Linked DNA regions of Sus scrofa. The protein of the gene in region 4 purifies or fractionates together with the protein of the main gene of each other region. This does not show direct contact. Links are inferred from orthologs where the notes say so. Each region holds a gene or a part of one and is shown on either strand. Other genes may lie near its edges. The genes, in order: CCNB1, ANAPC11, ANAPC2 and ANAPC4.

The links.
Region 1: the proteins of ANAPC4 (region 4) and CCNB1 purify together in Homo sapiens (affinity purification with western blotting; 3 studies listed by BioGRID). This does not show direct contact. The link is inferred for Sus scrofa from reciprocal best matches to the Homo sapiens genes ANAPC4 and CCNB1.
Region 2: the proteins of ANAPC4 (region 4) and ANAPC11 purify together in Homo sapiens (affinity purification with mass spectrometry; 8 studies listed by BioGRID and IntAct, with this or other methods). This does not show direct contact. The link is inferred for Sus scrofa from reciprocal best matches to the Homo sapiens genes ANAPC4 and ANAPC11.
Region 3: the proteins of ANAPC4 (region 4) and ANAPC2 purify together in Homo sapiens (affinity purification with western blotting; 12 studies listed by BioGRID and IntAct, with this or other methods). This does not show direct contact. The link is inferred for Sus scrofa from reciprocal best matches to the Homo sapiens genes ANAPC4 and ANAPC2.

What each region holds. Positions count from the first base shown.
Region 1 is NC_010458.4:47,343,994-47,348,532, forward strand, and holds the end of CCNB1 (G2/mitotic-specific cyclin-B1), read left to right. Parts: intron 1-1,195; coding exon 1,196-1,354; intron 1,355-1,545; coding exon 1,546-1,782; intron 1,783-2,068; coding exon 2,069-2,209; intron 2,210-3,128; coding exon 3,129-3,239; intron 3,240-3,679; coding exon 3,680-3,787; 3' UTR 3,788-4,392; downstream 4,393-4,539. UniProt on the Homo sapiens protein: Essential for the control of the cell cycle at the G2/M (mitosis) transition.
Region 2 is NC_010454.4:1,095,718-1,100,871, forward strand, and holds the start of ANAPC11 (anaphase-promoting complex subunit 11), read right to left. Parts: upstream 3,517-5,154; 5' UTR 3,363-3,516; intron 2,857-3,362; 5' UTR 2,846-2,856; coding exon 2,737-2,845; intron 1-2,736. Other genes in the region: ALYREF (THO complex subunit 4), read left to right, coding at 3,645-3,878, 4,307-4,438. UniProt on the Homo sapiens protein: Together with the cullin protein ANAPC2, constitutes the catalytic component of the anaphase promoting complex/cyclosome (APC/C), a cell cycle-regulated E3 ubiquitin ligase that controls progression through mitosis and the G1 phase of the cell cycle.
Region 3 is NW_018084833.1:718,283-722,821, forward strand, and holds the end of ANAPC2 (anaphase-promoting complex subunit 2), read left to right. Parts: coding exon 1-32; intron 33-3,321; coding exon 3,322-3,451; intron 3,452-3,671; coding exon 3,672-3,907; intron 3,908-4,003; coding exon 4,004-4,216; 3' UTR 4,217-4,258; downstream 4,259-4,539. UniProt on the Homo sapiens protein: Together with the RING-H2 protein ANAPC11, constitutes the catalytic component of the anaphase promoting complex/cyclosome (APC/C), a cell cycle-regulated E3 ubiquitin ligase that controls progression through mitosis and the G1 phase of the cell cycle.
Region 4 is NC_010450.4:19,303,898-19,308,436, forward strand, and holds part of ANAPC4 (anaphase-promoting complex subunit 4), read left to right. Parts: intron 1-1,306; coding exon 1,307-1,412; intron 1,413-4,133; coding exon 4,134-4,266; intron 4,267-4,539. UniProt on the Homo sapiens protein: Component of the anaphase promoting complex/cyclosome (APC/C), a cell cycle-regulated E3 ubiquitin ligase that controls progression through mitosis and the G1 phase of the cell cycle.

The DNA.
Region 1 (4,539 bases), on a different chromosome or scaffold from region 4:
TTGGGGGTTTAAACCCTGGAGCCAGAGTGGTAGCATATTGGTTCCAGCTGATCTGGGAGCTGTTGCTATTTTCTTCTACTTCAGGTTCTGGATTTAGAGTCTTAAGTGAAAAGATATGAGGTGATACTATGGTATCTTTATTAGGGAAGAAGTGGGGACAAGGTATGGGCCAGTAGTGGTGAAATGGACATAGTAAGATCTGCCATTGTGAAAACCTGTCACATTGTCCTGTTGAATGTTTGCTTTATTTCTTCCTCAGCAAAAGAGCTGTTTGCAATGACTGTATGAATAATCCAATCACTAGAGGGATTTCCTGTTGTGGCTCAGCAGTAACGAACCTGACTAGTATCCATGAGGACACAGTTTTTTTTTTTTTTTTTTTTTTTTTTTTGTCTTTTTGCTATTTCTTTGGGCCGCTCCCTTGGCATATGGAGGTTCCCAGGCTAGGGGTCGAATCGGAGCTGTAGCCACTGACCTGCGCCAAAGCCACAGCAACTTGGGATCTGAGCCGCATCTGCAACCTACACCACAGCTCACGGCAACGCCGGATCGTTAACCACTGAGCCACGACGGGAACTCCAGGACACAGTTTTGAGCCCTGGCTTTGCTCTGTGGGTTAAAGGATCCAGCGTTGTGGTGAGCCGCAGTGTAGGTCACAGAGATCGCTTGGATCCCTCGTTGCTGTGGCTATGGCGTAGGCTGGCGGTTGCAGCTCCGATTCAACCCCTAGCCTAGCAACTTCCACATGCTGTGGGTACAGGCCTAAAAAAGATAAAAACAAAACAAAATAATAAAAAAGAACTGTTAGCGATCCTAAATGTTTTAGAGCTACTCTGAGGGGACATTTCTGGTCAGAAATGTCATGTGGGGAGTTCCCGTCATGGCGCAGTGGTTAACGAATCCGACTAGGAACCATGAGGTTGCGGGTTCGGTCCCTGCCCTTGCTCAGGGGGGTAATGATCCGGCGTTGCCCTGAGCTGTGGTGTAGGTTGCAGACGCGGCTCGGATCCTGCGTTGCTGTGGCTCTGGCGTAGGCTGGTGGCCACAGATCCGATTCCGACCCCTAGCCTGGGAACCTCCATATGCCGCGGGAGCGGCCAAAGAAATAGCAAAAAGACAAAAAAAAAAAAAGAAAGGAAAAAAGAAATGTCACGTGGAGTCTTGCTTCTAAGGATAATCCGCACTTCTTTTGCAGGAAGAACAAGCAGTTAGACCAAAATACCTACTGGGTCGTGAAGTCACTGGAAACATGAGAGCCATCCTAATTGACTGGCTAGTGCAGGTTCAGATGAAATTCAGGTTACTACAGGAGACCATGTACATGACAGTTTCCATTATTGATCGGTTCATGCAGGTGAGCATAAATTCAGCAACTGAGAGATCTCTCTTCGAGGGTCCTAGCTATAAGTCATAAGAAACAAACTTTTTCAGCTAAAATCTGTCTTGGGAGTTGAAATTTTAGTGTGGGAGTGTCTTTCTCCATTGCGCTGTGCCTCCTTTTCAAATGCATGTTACTTATTCATCCAATTGAGGTTCCCATTGCAGGATAATTGTGTGCCCAAGAAGATGCTCCAACTGGTTGGTGTCACTGCCATGTTTATTGCCAGCAAATATGAAGAAATGTACCCTCCAGAAATTGGTGACTTTGCCTTTGTGACTGACAATACTTACACTAAGTACCAAATCAGGCAGATGGAAATGAAGATTCTAAGAGCATTAAATTTTTGTCTGGGTCGCCCTCTACCCCTGCATTTTCTTCGGAGAGCATCCAAGATTGGAGAGGTACAGAGTAAAAATTGAAAATTTTAGTATGGTACATTGGGGAATACTGCTGACCAATGAGATCTAACTCAACTGCCTTGTACTATGTATCTAACTACGTGGGGAAGGGTTAAAGATGGTCTTTATTTCCAATCAGGCTGTTGTGGTAATATTAAAGTTTTTCATAGGCAATTGCATTTGAGTTGAGAGACAAACATTTACAGTTAAAAGTTATGGGCATACCCCATAGTTACTGCCAATGCAAAATTCTCAGACGAGCTCAGTGACCCCGTGGGTTTTGTTCCAGGTTGATGTTGAGTTACATACTTTGGCCAAATATCTGATGGAGCTAACTATGTTGGACTACGATATGGTGCACTTTCCTCCTTCTCAGATCGCAGCAGGAGCTTTTTGCCTATCCCTGAAGATTCTTGATAATGGTGAATGGGTAAGCTCTGTCCCACAAACTAAGGTCACGCCAAGCTTTTAAATTGTAGTATTTACTGAATACAGACCTGTTTCTATTAAAGGACAATTCACTTGGTTCCTAAATATGGCATCTACTGAGGGAAGGTTTTAAAATCAAGTTTGTGATATCTTCATAGCTTGCTTCCATTTCATTACCTAATCTCATCTTTCTATACCCCTCTGGGAAAAGCAGAGCAGTTGCTACTCCTTACAGATGGAGAAACTCAAGCAGGTGAAATGACATAGCAGAAGTTTATTCATATTCATTGATTAAACAAGCATTTCTGGAGTTCCCGTCGTGGCGCAGTGGTTAACGAATCTGACTAGGAACCATGAGGTCGCGGGTTCGGTCCCTGCCCTTGCTCAGTGGGTTAACGATCCGGCGTTGCCGTGAGCTGTGGTGTAGGTCACAGACGCGGCTCGGATCCCGCATTGCTGTGGCTCTGGTGTAGGCCGGTGGCTACAGCTCCGATTCAACCCCTAGCCTGGGAATCTCCATATGCCGCGAGAGCGGCCCAAGAAATAGCAACAACAACAACAACAAAAGACAAAAAAAGACCAAAAAAAAAACAACAAGCATTTCTCCTGTGTGCCATGTGATACTCTAGACCCTAGCAATAGAATTATCAATGAGAAAGTCAGCTCCGAGGAACTTGGGGTTTAGCTTTGGGGTGGACAAGTCAGCAATTTAAAAAATGTAAGTAGGTTTGAGCACAGGATCCCAGGGAAAGCATGAAAGGAGAGTACCTGGGGAAAAAGGGGTCTTAAGCTTGTCTTAAATTTCAGTTATAATCAGTCACACAGTATCTTCCTCTCTATCCTATTTTTGAGTAACATCTAGAGGTTTTATGAAAACCATCATTGATGAGCATTTTCAACCTTAACTTTTGTTGTCTTAGACACCAACTCTACAGCATTACCTGTCATACACTGAAGAATCCCTTCTTGTGGTTATGCAACACTTGGCTAAGAATATCGTCGTGGTGAATCGAGGGCTTACAAAGCACATGGTAAGTCAGTGGCACTGTAGAGTGTTGGGGGAAAAGTGAAAATCATTAAGACTTGATGCCTGGAGTTCCCGCTGTGGCTCAGTGGAAACGAATCTGACTAGCATCCATGAGGAGGACGCAGGTTCGATCCCTGGTCTCGCTCAGCAGGTTAAGGATCCCGCATTGCCATGAGCTGTGGTGTAGGTCGCAGATGTGGCTCGGATCCCACGTTGTTGTGGCTGTGGTATAGGCCAGTGGCTACAGCGCCAATTTAGCCCCTAGCCTGGAAACTTCTGTATGCTGCAAGTGCAGCTGTAAAAAAAAAAAAAAAAGACTTGATGGCCCGACAATTCATAAGCTGATTTTTAAGGAGTTGATGGTTTTAAGTGACTATTTGTACCATGGATTCTTATAAGGTTTTCCTCTTTTCCTTCATTAATTACTGTGTTTTTCCATTCCAGACTATCAAGAACAAGTATGCCACATCTAAGCATGCTAAGATCAGCACTCTAGCCCAGCTGAATTCAGCACTAGTTCAAGATTTAGCCAAGGCTGTGGCAAAGGTGTAACTTGTGAACTTCGGAATACTATAATATCTACAAATAAAATTGGCACCATGTGCCATCTGTACATATTATATGTTACACTTATTTACTTTTAATAAAGTTTGTAGTCCTTTTTACTTCTTAACTCATTTGAATGTGGCTATTTCCCACTTGAGGATAACTTAAAAGTTGTCTTAAAGGTACAGTGGAGAATGTTTTTTAAAAAATGAAAACTGTTTTCAGTTACCTGGGAACCCAACTAATATATACAATTGGCTCTTCTTGTTTTATGTACTTGGCATAACTTAATTAATATGAGTTCATATAGTCTTGAAGCCATTTAATATCTTTATATGTTACACTGTATGTAAGCTCAGTCATCTTGAGAGAATCTGCTACCTAGTTCTACACAAGGAAGAGTCTACCGTCTCAATCCTAGTCCCCTTGTTTTATATTTCCTCTGGTGGCTGCAGTCATAATCCTAAATAATCTACTTGTACCACTTTCTTAAATTATCAACTTTAGTATCAACTTTTTCACTTGGAAAAATGAGAATTTTAATTTATATTCAAAACCTAATTTACTTTTTGTTTATTGGTTAAGAAAAATAAAACAATCCTTAGAACAAATATGAAAGTATCTGAAAAAGTTTATTGGGAGTTCCCGTCGTGGCGCAGCAGTTAACGAATCCGACTAGGAACCATGAGGTTGCGGGTTCGGTCCCTGCCCTTGCTCAGTGGGTTAACGATCCGGCGTTGCCGTGAGCTGTGGTGTAG
Region 2 (5,154 bases), on a different chromosome or scaffold from region 4:
ACGTGCCTGCAGGGGACACATGCATCTGAGGGGTGAACTATACCTCTTGGTCAAGGCTGGGAGGGCCGGCCGTGGCTCTGGGACCCAGATGGTTCCCTCGCCTTGGGGACACTGTGATGTTTGTGGCCTCGCCTGTCAGCAGCTGGGAGTGACAGGACATCCTGTCTCTCTCCTGATTCTAATCTGAGAGAGTCCTACCTCCAAGGCCCTTGGTACCTGCTGCTGGCACTCCACTCCACACACCTAGAAGCGCTACCTCTGTGGAGAGGACGTGGCACACACAGGACACGCTAACGCTGCCTGAGGTCAAGGGCAACAGGCGGCCCTCTGATCTTCAAGGATCTGGAAAACCCCGCCAAACAGCTGCTAACAAGAGAACCCAATGACCTCCCCAGGTCAGGTCCCCGCCGGGACTGAGGGGCTGCAGCCCACTGCCCCCACCTTCTCCTAGGTCCCATTCCCTACGTCACTGCCTTGGGGGGTCTCTGCGGCCCTCACGTGCTAGCTGTGTAAGGTGTCACTGGTGCACAGACAGACCACCAGGACAACAGGGGCCATCTTGCCCAGGAAGTGGCTCCTAAGTGCAGGTCTGGGAACCCCGAGACCCCCGGGCTGGCCTGGTCGCCTGTGGCCCTGGTTCTTAAGACACCAAACAGGGACACAGGTGACCGTACAATACGTTAAGGAGACACCACCACGGCCAAGCCACACCACGTTGCTCTCGAGCCCCAGGCAGCACCTGCTTCTGCTGGACGGCGGGCCAGGCACCTGGCCTGTGTTCTCGACCAGCCTCACCGCGCTCTGCAGCCACCACGCTGCCCCACCTGATGGAGGCCAAGGCCCCACAACTAATGAGGGCCGCTGCCACCTGAGGGGCGGGCGCTGTTCCGACCAGGTGGCTGTCGTCGTGTCCACGTCTGCTGAAGACACCCAGCTCCTTCCCGACCCGAGCAGCCACCCCCGTGGGACACACGTCGCACCGCCATCGCCTTCATTTGTTTGGAGCAGTTCCTCAATCTTTTAAAACATCCTTTTTGTAACTGGAGACATCTCACCCTTTCCGACAACCTTTGGCAAGGACAAAACTCCCTCTGCCTCCCAGGCCACGGGGGTGGGGTGAGCAGGACGCTGTGCCAGGAGCCCACCGGGTGGGGGCCCTCGTTTAGATAAGCGTCCGGCGTCCCACCCGGCCGTTCCGCCTCAGCAGAACAAGGCTTGCCATCACCCCTGACACGTCAGACTCCCTCACAAACAGAACAGGAGAGGACGAGCAGGGCCAGCTAGCCCACTGGTGGGTGCCCCGGCCGGCCTGCCTGCCCCGGGACCTGACAGTACAAGAGCATGCTGGCGGCGGGCCGGCTCAGGCCGGTGGAATCCTCTCAGCAAGACTCGCCCGCCCTCGGAAACCCTGGGAGGAGTGGATTCATCACAGTCTGAGTCCCTCCGGATTCTTCAGAGTGCCGTTTCCGCAGAGAAGCCCCAGTGTCACCTGATCCGGGCAGAAGGCATCCTGGGCTCACCCACCACTTTGCTCAGTACCACCGGCTCCCTCTGTTTCACCACCAGCAGGCCCCAAGTTCAGACTCCAAGCCCCCTCTCCGTTGCAGCTGACACACTCGCCCGTCAGCCTGCCCCGCAGCTGGAGTGTGCCACTGGGCGGTGTGCACCGGGTACCACACAGGCTCATCGCCCACTTCGGGCCAAGGGCACAGCCACAAAATTGCTTTCGAGGACTCTTCTCTCCTGAGGCCGTAATCTGCTGCTGAGGAGGTTGCAGATACCCACCCCACCCGTGTGGTACTCTTGGAAAAGGTGGTTTCCTTTCTTTTTTCTCTAGGAAGGGCCAGATCTCCCACTTCTCCTCTCCTTCACGTTCAGGAAAACCCCATCAGGCAGAGCCAGTCAGGGCCTCCTAAGATTGCATCCCGCCTGGCTGACTCACAGGATGGGCTGAGTCCTGGGTGATGAGATTCCCTCTCAGCAGGAAGACGAAGGATTACCACCAGGGTAGAAACACGTGACTCTAAGAAGCAGCACCATTCGGCCTCACATGGCCCCACAAGACAGGCCTGGTCACTCACTGCACCCGAGCAGCTGCTCAGTGGTCCCCAAGCCCCACCTCCCTCTTGGGACCACCCTTGTCCCCTTGGCAAAGCCAGAGACCCTTTCGTCTGTCCCCAAACTAAATTAACTCTTGACCTGAATATAACAACCACTTTCACTTCACCAAACACCCTGGGAAGGAACGAACACGGCAAAAGCGGCAAAAGATGTCTCCTTGCGTTGTGTTGTCTGTGGTGACAGCAGTGGCGAATGACAGAGAGAAGTGAGTGGCAAAAAGCATTACCTCCAGCACTGACTTTAAAACATTTGGACAAAAGCAAATACGGAAACATGTCATTTCCGGTTTGACCTGCTAGATGGGAGAGTGGTTTTATAACATTCCATTCTTTTGTTGGCTTGAGAATAAAGGTCTTCGAATAAAAGATCTTAACACATCTCTCAGTCCCACGTGTTTCACAGTGACTCTCACCTGGACAGGAAGCTGTGCTCTTTTTTCTCACCAAACCTTTGACAGACGTCTCGTGTACAAACATGGGCCCAAACTGACTAGCCTTTCCCCATTAACTTTCTTGGGGAAAGGAAATCAAACGCTGGGGATGCTATGCAGGTATCTCTAAGGACCTGCCAAGGCCAGCAAGCAGTCAAAACTCGAGGGCGGGCAGGGGCACTCACAGTCCGGGCAGCAGCCATTGAAGGCCATCCGGCAGATACCGCAGTTCTCGTCGTTGGCCACCCAGAGCCACGTGGCCACGCCGTTCCAGCACTTGATCTTCACCTTCATGGCGCGGGAGCCTGCGGGAGGGAAGAGACCCCCGGGGTTCCGGTGAGGCTGCTGAGCTACAGCACTTGGGAGCCAAAGAAGAGGTTCCGCCCCGAGCCCTCTAGAGGGTCGGGGAGGGCAGGAGTCGCCTCCGGCAGGGCAGCACAAACTGTCAGCGAGGCGGCTGGGGCAAGGGCCGGGTCCCCGGGAGGACCGGGCGCTCAGCGCATCTCCCAACGCCGCGCTTCTGCCCGGGCGTCCACGGAAGGGGGCGTCGGCTTCCGTTAACCACTGCAAAATCCTGCCGTGTGTACGTCTGAAAGGGACATGACTGTCGAGGTCAGGAGGAGAGCCAAACCCCTCCCTGCAAGACACCCGCGGAAACAAGCCCCCGGCCTGCGCGGCCGCTCCCCCCGCCTCCGCGGACCCGAGCGCGGGTTCGGGGCGGGGGGAGGGGCAGGACCCGGTTAGGACGTGCAAGGAGGGGCAAGGGAGGGGCGGAAGCCCGGCCCCGCCCAACGGCCGCACCCCCACTAACCAAATCACGCGCTGCCCCACCCGCCTTCCGTTGGCGGCGCCGGCGCCCGCGCGGGAAGGTATATAAACGACCGCGGCTGCGGACAGGCACTTCTCAGCGGCGCCCGCCGAAGCCCGGGGTCCAGCGCGCACGCCCCGCCCCGCCCCCCGACGCCGCCGCCGCCTCGCAGCCAATCCGCGGCCGCTCCGAGGACGCAGGCCCGGAAAAGGCCGCGCGGCGCAGGAAGTGACGCGCCGGCGTGCTGACGCGCGGGCTCCAGCCGAGGCCGATTCCGCGCCCGCCATGGCCGACAAAATGGATATGTCTCTGGACGACATCATTAAGCTGAACCGGAGCCAGCGAGGCGGCCGCGGCGGGGGCAGGGGCCGCGGCCGGGCCGGCTCCCAGGGCGGCCGCGGCGGCGGGGCGCAGGCTGCCGCGCGAGTGAGCCGAGGCGGCGGACCCATTCGGAACCGGCCGGCCATCGCCCGCGGCGCGGCGGGCGGCGGCAGGAACCGGCCGGCGCCCTACAGCAGGGTGAGTGCGGAGGCCGGCTGGCGGGCCGCGGCCGGGGGGCGGGCAGGCAGCGCGACGCGGGAGCAGCGGGCGGGCCGGGCCGGGGGGGTGGGGGCGCGGGCGCCGGCCGGGCGGACGGGGGAGGTCGCGCGCCAGCCGGGCCCCGAAGCGAGACCCCACCGGCCTTTGTTTGGGCTGGACGCCGGGCCTCGTGGCGCCGGGGGCCGAGGAGACGTTGGCGCGGCCGCCCTGGCGGCGGGAAGTTAGTTGGAGGGAACCGAGAAGTTGCGGGAAGTGCGGCCCCGCGGGCGGGAAGCGGGGGCTGCGGGCCCCTCTCGGTGCCTTCCTCCCGGGCCGCGATGGGGGAAGGTCTTGTGGCCGTGGGGGCGAGGGCGAGTCCTGGAGCGCGACTTATGGGTCTTTTTCTGTCGCGTTTTCTTTTTCTTTAGCCGAAACAGCTTCCTGACAAATGGCAACACGACCTTTTCGACAGCGGTTTTGGGGGTGGTGCCGGCGTGGAGACCGGTGGGAAACTGTTGGTGTCAAATCTGGATTTTGGCGTGTCCGACGCTGATATTCAGGTAAGAGACTGGAGCTTCTCCTCGGGAGCAGCTCACCCTGTACAGCACTGACTGTGGTGTTTGGGACGGGCCGGGACCCTGAATCCGCACCCACCTTGGGACAGTGAGCCCCTCCCAGGCCCTCGAGGGCTGGCCACCACTGCTCCCTGGAAGGGGCTGCTGGAGTGCATAGCAAAGGCCAAGCTAGAGCTGAAAGTCCAACTGCTGGTTCAGTTTGCGCTGGAAGACAGGCCCGGGTCGGGCCGGGCCGAGGCACCGCGGCTTTGGTAGCTAAGCATCCGCCGTGGGGGTGAGGAGCCTCTGCCTGCCCTTTTCTGGCAAGTGTGGCTGAACGCGTGTGGTTCTGCGTCCCTGAAAGAGCGCGGCTGTCTGCGGCTTTATTTCGTGCCCGTTTTAGTGATGCTTTGGGAGGAGAAAGCCCTTTCTCTGCAGGGCTGACAAAGTGCAGAAGCAGAGTGCTACAGGCATCTCTGGTCCCCTCTGCCTTAAGCCCCGTGGAACTGGGTCCCGGTCTTTCTCTCACCTATGCTCACGCTCTGGGTCTCGTTAGCGGCGCAAGTGTTTATTTAGTCTCGTCTTCGACTCAAGCCTCTTTTCTTTTCCGTTTCTTTTTCTCTTTTTTAAATCCACTCTCCAAGGCACTTGAACTGGTTTTCTCGTGAAGTAATGCCGTTTTGGGGGTCAGTCCTGCAGATGGCTGGGTCCGGGTGAGGGGC
Region 3 (4,539 bases), on a different chromosome or scaffold from region 4:
AGGTTTACTGCAGGAAGTACGAGAAGCTCAAGGTACTGCCGCGCCTGCCCCCTCGGCCTCAGGACTAGGGGCCGCTGCTGTGCTCACAGAGTCGGGGGCCAGGCCTCCCCCGGGGGTGTCTGCCCGGGAGCCGCCTCCAGGGTAGCCTCCGGTTGCGCCTGAGGCGCTTGAGCTCCGTGACCCTCCCCATCCCGCGCCTCCGCGGCTTCGTCCCTGGGAGCTGCTCCTTGGGGTCAGGATGCCCCAGGATCGGGCGAGAGTGTGAGGGGGGCCCCTCGGCCGAGTGTCTCCCTCATCCCATCCGTCCTGGGGCCCGGGTCGGCGTCTGGGGCAGAGGCGAGGGTGGGTGGAGCCTGGCCTGGGCGGGGTCTGCGGCCCGGAGGACCCTTCCTTCCCCGGAGGGCTCTGCGCAGGCGCCTCGGCAGAGAGGCGGGGCCAGGAGGCTCTCCCGGGTTTCTGGGCGCAGGTGGAGAGGCAGGTTCTGGCCCATCAGGCTGACTGGGGTGTGGGGCCCGCGTGGCCACAGGTCTCCAGGGTGCAGACCCCCAGCCCTGGAGGGACCTGGGACACCCCTGGAGATGGGGGGCCAGAAGTCAGGGCTCGGAGACCCCTCGCACCGGAGCGGCAGGGCCAGGCCAGCGAGAGGGGTGGCGGCTCGTCCAGCTTAGCTGTCTAGATGCGGCTGCTGTTAAGGCGCCTCGTCCTTGAGGGACAGGACGGTGCAGGGCGGCCGGTCCCTGCGGGGGGTGGCCTGGCGGGGAGCCGGGGTGTGGTCAGCCCCGCAGGAGGGAGGTGCAGGGCCCCCCCACGCTCCCTGCTCTTACCTGGGTGTGGGGCCTTGGCACTGCACGCCCACCTTCCTGGTGGGAGATGTCTGTGTGGCAGCCCGTGTGCTCGGCGCCCTGTGCTGCACACGGCCTCCCGCTGCTCCAGCACACCTGCCAGCGGAGGCCCCACTGCCTTCCACCCGAGTTCCGTCCTGACCCAGACGCAGCCCAGGACACCTGGTCTAAACCCAGCCGGACACCAGAGTGGCCACAGCCAGCCCCGGAGCTGGGCCAGAGGCAGGCCCGCGGCCGTGTGCCTCTGACTCCCTCCAGCCAGGCTCCCAGCCCCAGGGCTGTGCCGACCTCGTGCCTCGCACCTGCCCGACTCTGGGCTGGCGTGAGGGTGGTAAAGGTCATGGCCTTGGTGCCAGAGGGCCTGCTGGTGACCCGGGCGAGCTGCCAGCCGTGTCTCCGTTTTCTCTCCACGAAGTGGGCTTGGGTCCTTGCCTCCCCACTCAGAGCTAAGGGGCTGTGGGCCGACCCAGCAGCGCCTGGCCCGGCGTGGCGGCCAGGACCGAGCCCCGCAGATGGGCCTTAGGCAGCACGGAGCTCTCGTCTCAGGTCAGGCGGCCAGAAGCTGAGGATCGGGGTCCACAGGGCTCCCTCCTGAGGCTCCAAGAGAGGGCGTCCCTGCCTCTTTCAGGCCTCACTCCTTGGCCTGTAGGCGCATCGCTCTGTCCCCTGCGTCTTGGCCCACGGCCTCTCCTGCTGTCCCTGTCCCTCTTCTTACAAGGACACCAGTCCTACCGGATTAAGGGCCCACTGTACCCCAGGACGACCTCGCTTTAACCACATGGGAAGAACTTCATTTCCCAGGTAGCTTCGGAGGCCCCGGGGGTCAGGGCTTCAGCATCTTTTTTGGGGGGGTCGCACTTCAGGCCATAGGAGCCTGTCCTCTGGACCCCCAAACCTCACATCCTTCTCACGTGCAGAGTACATTCAGCCCAGCTGAGCCTTCCTGGAGTGTTCCCCTTCCAGCAGCTCAGAGCCCAAACCTCCACATATAAACCATGTCTGCGAGCTCCCCTGTTGGACAGCGGGGTAAGGACCTGACGCTGTCACTGCAGCGGCTCAGGTCTCTGCTGTGGCGTGGGTTCCATCCCTGACCTGGACCGTCCACGTCCCAAGGGCGTGGCCAAAAAGAAAGTTTAAAGCAAACAAATAGCATCTAGGCTGGGTGAGGGGAGAACTGGGGCACAGTTCTTCAGCTGTGAACCTGTGAAGCCAGCTGAGCACCTCGCTGCTTCCCACGTCTGGTGATGGGCAGACAGCCCCGCTCCACGGGCGACAGGGAAGGGCCCGCCCCTGAGCAGGGCTGAAATCCGGGGAGGGAATTTGGCCCCGCGGCTGGGCTGGGCTGGGGCGCGCTCGGCCAGGCCAGGCATCTGGTATCTACATCTCCGAGGCTCTGCCCGAGCCGAGCCAGTCTCCTGCCTGGCCGGCCCTCCCTTTCCGTTCAGGCTGATGTCGTTTCCACTGGTAGAAAGTTCTCCGAACCCTTGTTGACCTCCGCGCAGTTCACGGTCCAGTCCCTCCATGGGGCTCTGACCGTCCTGGCTTTCCTGCTGGCGGCCGCTGCTGGTTGCTGCCACCCTGACGTACATCACCTCTGGGGCCCCTCGACTCCCCAGAGCACGTGGGAAGATGCCAGGCGCCGGGTGCTGGTTCCTGGTGCTTGTACCAATTTCTTCCTGGTTTCCCTCCCGTGGCCTGCAAACTGTAAGGAGCAGCCAGGCCACACCTTCCCGGCTTGGAAATCGCAGCCAAACGTCAGGTGCCGCTTGCCACCCTCCACGACCCGTCCCTGCCACTGCACAACAAGCTTGCCTGTCCTCCAGCTCCAGCGACAGGGTCCTCCTTTCAGCAGACCTCTTGAGGACGGCCTCTGCCGTCTCTCTACCAAGGCTCTCCGCGGGGCAATCCAGGCTTTTGGGAGCGCGCAGCTCCCAGCTCTCCCAGCTCCCCCTGCCCCTCAACACCACGGCTGCTTGCACTTTTTTTTTTCTTGAAGTTTGTAACAGCAGCACCCTCAGCCTCCTCCTGGGGCTGCTGTCACAAAGGACCAAGAAGCAGGTGGCTTAGAACGACAGGAACATAGTGGCGGAGGCCAGGGTCTGGGCTGGAGCTGTCAGCCTGGCTGTGTGCCTTCTGGGGGCCGCAGGCGAGCCCTCTTGCCTCGTGCAGCCGCAGAGGCGCCTCTGTCTTCCCCCGTGTGTGTGCAGCCACCGCGCTCTGGGCCACCAGTGGTGGTAGGTGAGGGCCCACGTTACTCCAGGACCACCAGCCTCGTCTTCACTTGTGACATCTGCAGAGGCACTGTTCCCACGTCAGGTCACAATCTGAGGTCCGGGATTGAGACGGGACGTCCCGGGGGCATGGCGGCCCTCCCCACTCGGTTGAGCTGCTGCGCAGCTCCTCTGCCTGTGGTGGTGGGGAGGGGGGCCTGAGCCAGCAGAGCAGCTGGGCTGCCTGTGCTGACCCCAGCCCTCCCCAGGCCATGCGGACACTCAGCTGGAAGCACACCCTGGGCCTGGTAACCATGGATGTGGAGCTGGCCGACCGCACCCTGTCTGTGGCCGTGACCCCTGTGCAGGCAGTGGTCTTGCTGTACTTCCAGGACCAAGGTGAGCCCATGCTCCCAGGGCCGGTGCCGGGCACTGCTCTGTGTCTGCAGAGGGCGGCCCGGGCCCAGGTGGCCCAAGGCCACGCAGGCAACAACCCCTTCCTGTGCCCCCCACCCCCTCGCCCAGCTGGGCCGTCTGAGTCCTGCTGAGCTGGGTCCCAGGTTCTGGGAGGCACGGTGGCCCCCAGTGCACCCAGTGTGCCTGCCCCCCCCGCCCACAGCCAGCTGGACCCTGGAGGAGCTGAGCAAGGCAGTGAAGATGCCCGTGGCGCTGCTGCGGCGGCGCATGTCGGTGTGGCTGCAGCAGGGTGTGCTGCGCGAGGAGCCGGCCGGCACCTTCTCGGTGGTGGAGGAGGAGCGGCCCCAGGACCGGGACAGCATGGTGCTCATCGACAGTGACGATGAGAGCGACTCGGGCATGGCCTCGCAGGCCGACCAGAAGGAGGAGGAGCTGCTGGTGCGCCGGGGGCGGGGGCGGCGCCGGGCTTGGCCCCCGTGAGGTGGCGGCCCTGCGGGGGGCCTGCCCGCCCGCTGAGCCGCCGCTGTCCCCCAGCTCTTCTGGACGTACATCCAGGCCATGCTGACCAACCTGGAGAGCCTCTCGCTGGAGCGCATCTACAGCATGCTGCGCATGTTCGTGGTGACCGGCCCCGCGCTGGCTGAGATCGACCTGCAGGAGCTCCAGGGCTTCCTGCAGAAGAAAGTGCGGGACCAGCAGCTCGTCTACGCCGCCGGCGTCTACCGCCTGCCCAAGAGCTGCGGCTGACACGCCCGCCCCGCGCCGAGTAAAGCAGACCTTTCCTCTGCCTCTCGCTGTCCTGCTGGCTTTGTGGGCCCTTGCGGGCACGTGATGCAGGTTGTCCCTCTGGCGGGGCCTGGCCCCCGGGGGGCACATGCAGGAAGCCGCGCGGCTGTTTGGGTTCCAGGCCAGGAGGGGTCCTGGCACGTCAGGCTTGTGGCTCGGCCAGGCCTGTGGCTTGGCTGGAGCTCACAGGGCTCAGCAGCCTGGCTCCAGCTCGAGCCTCACTGCTCGGGCCTTTTTTTTTTTTTTTTTTTTTGGCCACACCTGTAGCATGCAGAAGCTACCGG
Region 4 (4,539 bases):
GGGGGGGGGGGGGCGGTGTGTGGCCTAGGGGTCTGTAGATGACTGTAGCTAAGAAGGATAGCAGGTGGTATGGTCCACCATCTGGTAAAGGCACCCAAGTGTGTTATGCTATAGCCCTGAGGACTGAACTCCCCTCTTCCATGTGTTGTTACAGGGACAGTCCTTGTACAGGAAAATGCTCTAAGTCTTACAGCTTAAAGGTCATCTGTATCAGTGGTGCTTTACGAAAAACAAAAGCAAAGAACAAATTGTTTTTATAAACAATATAAGAAGTATGTAAAAATGCCCTGAAAACATATCGATTACAGATAACAGCTATTTTTGTCTGTACTGATTTTGCTCAGATCTTATTCATCTTTTACTTTAAAAAATGTGTAAAATTCGAGAACTTAAAATAAGTAAAATTAGAGAACTTTTTGTAAGTTTTTAATCTTCTGGCCCAGTCGTAGCACGGCCATGCAGAGCAGCCACCACCTGAGAAGCCTGTAGGGAGGCAGCGTTTTCAGGTGAGAAGCACCTTTCAGGGAGGAGAAGGAAGGTCCTGATTCCTGACTGTGAATTCCAGAGGGCACACAGCAAGGGTTTCAGAAGTAAGGAAAAGCAGAGGTGGGCTCGGAAAAGAGCATTGAGTCTGGGGGCTGAACCGTTCCTTGGGAGTTCTGGATTCCCTGTAACCTGGAACAGGCGTGCAGGGTGCTCTGAGGTTAGCTGTGGGGGTGGGAATTAAGGGGTGTGTGTGAGTTGGGGGGGGCGGGCCTTTAGGAGCACCTGCAGTTCTAAGGCTTTTTTTGTCTTTATTCCCAATGGCTGTAGAGAGGATGGAGTAGGGACCACTTTTATTTTAGCACAAGGTGCTCCAGGGCATTCTCTTGGCCCTCCGAGGTGGGCATTTTCCTGTGTGTAAATGGAATGGCTAAGTGACTTGTCTGAGCCCATGGCCAGTAAGTGACACAGCTGAAACTGTTGTGTGATTCCAAGTTTAGTGTTATTTAATTATATACAGCCACCTTTCCCGTTCCGTTTGTGTCCTTTATTTCTTTTTTTGTCATCTTGTTGGATATCTTCATATTGCTTTCTGAAAAATAAGTCTCTTGTTGACGTAAAAGGTGGGGAAAAGTATAGGATACAGAGTTAAATTAGACCTCTTTTCACCTGTTTTTCAGATATTGTTATCTTTTAATTTCTTCTGATAGCTCAATATTATACTTGATATGAGTTTTTAAAAATTCTATAGTGGGGATCTAAGATTATTTTAGTTTTGGAAATGGATTATTTATTATGTGCCATTATATCTGTTTTGTCTTAGGTTTTACTTCATCGACTTGCAAGTTTTCATCGAGTTTGGAGTTTTCCACCAAATGAAAATACAGGAAAGGAAGTGACCTGTCTGGCTTGGAGACCAGATGGCAAACGTAATGATAGTATTATAAAAAAATACATTTTTTGTTTTTCAGAAAGAGTATTCTGTAAAGAGAGCTTACTTCCACAAAGAATTTATTGTTCGTATTATATACTAGAAGATTCTAGATACACATTTGGAAACTTTGTGTTTTCGAATGCTTTAAAGTGTTTTCATAGAACTCAGAGCAATTCTACCACCTTGATTCTCGGCAGAGATATCTCTAAGATGAAATCTGACTTCTTGGCAAAGAGAAGTCCGAGAAGACATTTGATGGGAATATACAGGGACTTTGGTTTTGTTCTGCCTTCATCTTGTCATCCTGCACTGTTTGCCCCAAGCTTCCTTTGCCACTCCCTAGTGAGTTCAGTGCCATCTCGGCCCTTTTCTCCCCAAAATGTGTTTTAGCATTAAACATGTGGCTCGTAAATATTCTTTTTTTTAAATCATTTATTTACATACATATATTTTCTTTTCTACTGTACAGCATGGTGACCCAGTTACACATACATGTATACATTCTTTTTTCTCACATTACGTGTTCCATCAGAAGTGACTAGACAGAGTTCCCAGTGCTACACAGCAGGATCCTATTGCTGATCCATCCCCCAGGCAACATTCTGCATCTATTAATCCCAGGCTCCCAGTCCATCCCACTCCCTCCCCCTCTCCCTTGGCAACCACAGGTCGAAAGGTTCTTTTGTGCCGTATATTAGATTCCAGATATAAGTGATACCATGTGGTGTGGCTTGTAAATAGTCTTTCTTCACAGATGCTTGCCTCCCCTGAGGGACTGTCCCCTCTGAGCCCCTTTCTTCAACTTCTGCGTGATCTTCCTCCTCTTGGTGTCCTGTAGGTTGTAGCTTGCTATATGGTAGCGCTGAGGACTGAACTCCCCTCTTCATGTGTTGCTCCGGGGACAGCCCTTGTACAGGGAAATGTATCAGTGGTGCTTTACAAAAAACTAAAAGCAAAGAAATGATAGGTACTCTGCTTACTTTTTTCCTACATAAATATAAGTATGTAAAACTGTAAGTATGTAAATAAGTATGTAATGTCCTGAAAACATGTCCATTACAGATAGCAACTATTTTTGTCTGTACCCATTTTGCTCAGTTCTTGTTTCATCTTTTACTTTAGAAAATATGTAAAATTAGAGAACTTAATTAAAAGTAGAGAACTTCTGTTGTAAGTAATATTTTGAGATCCTGTACTATTCATCCAAAAACACCAGGAGCTCAAAAATCATGAAAATTGGTATGTGTGAAAATGTGTTTAAGTAGATGATTTTTTTTTTTTTTTCCTGCACCTGCAGCATGTGGCAGTCTCCAGGCCAGGGATCGAACCCACACCACAGCATTGCCCAGAGCCACGGCAGTGACAACACTGGATCCCTGGATCCTTAACTGCTGGGCTACCAGGGAACGCCTATATGATTTTTTTTTTTTAATTTTTTTTTTATAATTTTTTTTTATTTTCCCACTGTACAGCAAGGGGGTCAGGTTATCCTTACATGTATACATTACAATTACATTTTTCCCCCACCCTATTTTTATTGTTAAAAATGTCTCGTGGAGTTCCCATCGTGGCGCAGTGGGTAACGAATCCAACTAGGAACCATGAGGTTGCGGGTTCGATCCCTGCCCTTGCTCAGTGGGTTAAGGATCCGGCATTGCCGTGAGCTGTGGTATAGGTCGCAGACATGGCTCGGATCCCCCGTTGCTGTGGCTCTGGCATAGGCTGGCAGCTACAGCTCCTATTAGACCCCTAGCCTGGGAACCTCCCACATGCCGTGGGAGCGGTCCAAGAAATGGCAAAAAGACCAAAAAAAACAAAACAAAAAGTCTCGTGTTTTTAGACTATAAAATAGGGTTTTGTTTAGTAATGATTATTTTAATATTACTTTAAATTGGTTTGAAGAAGGTAGACTTGGCTTGCCTCACATCTAGTGTGTATTGGTATGCAGTAAAACTCACATCCTTCTATTTGGAAATTCTTAAATTTGATAGGAAGACGGTAATGGCTTACGTAGAGAAACAGTATTAGATAATTTAGCCACAGTGAAAGGAAGAAGATCAGTACTTGATGGCCCTGTTCATTAAGGTTTAGAAATAAAAAAGAGGAATAAAAAACACCTTGCAAGAACCAAAAGATGGAATCACTTTTTAACTTTTAGATAGGGACCAGTATGACTTGGTGATAGGATTTTTTTTTTTTTTTCTTTTTTGGCCACCCCGTGGCGTATGTAGTTCTTGTGCCAGGGATCAGAGCCGAGCCTCATTGGTGACCTACACTGCAGCTGCGGCAACGCAGATCCTTAACCCACTGTGCTGGGCTAGGGATCGAACCTGTGTCCTGGCACTACAGAGATACCACCAATCCTTTGTGCCACAGTGGGAACTCCGATATGATATTATTGTTTATGCGTTGACTCCTGTTCTGTATTTTTTGCTTGGCATCAAGGTTTCAGTCTAGAGTGTCTGGTGTGGAAGATGTTAAGAACAGTACACAAGAAAGTAGATTGCTCATGAAAGATGAGCATTTGAATATAAGTGTAAATAACAGCATAACTATATGCAGTGATGGCTTTAATTTTTTAATTACCTGAAGGATTGGGGGGTTAAATACTTTCTATGATTATGATGTATTGAAAATAGTAAAATTGGGCAAGAAGCAAAATGCCCATCTTTCTCAAATGTACTCATCTTTTCTGATTATTTCTTCTTGTTTTTAGTTTTGGCCTTTGCTCTTGCTGACACCAAGAAAATTGTTTTGTGTGATGTAGAAAAACCTGAAAGCTTGCACTCGTTCTCTGTGGAGGCTCCAGTTTCTTGTATGCATTGGATGGAAGTGACCGCAGAGAGCAGGTAGAGTAACAACAAAAGAAAAACTCCAGTTGTCACGGCAGGATGTTCATGAAATTTTCATTTTTTATAAGTGGAAACTTAGAAGTACCTGAGTATTGAGTCTGTGCATTTAACTTTTGGTTTTAAGCTTATCAAGGGGAAATTTTTTAATGCTTTTTTAGATTTTTTTTCTTTTTGAAAAAATCTATTTTCTTACTGGAGCGATAATGCCTGAATGGCCGAGAGTTTTCTTTTCAGTTATTTTTAGTGGTTTGTATCAATGACTTATCCTTT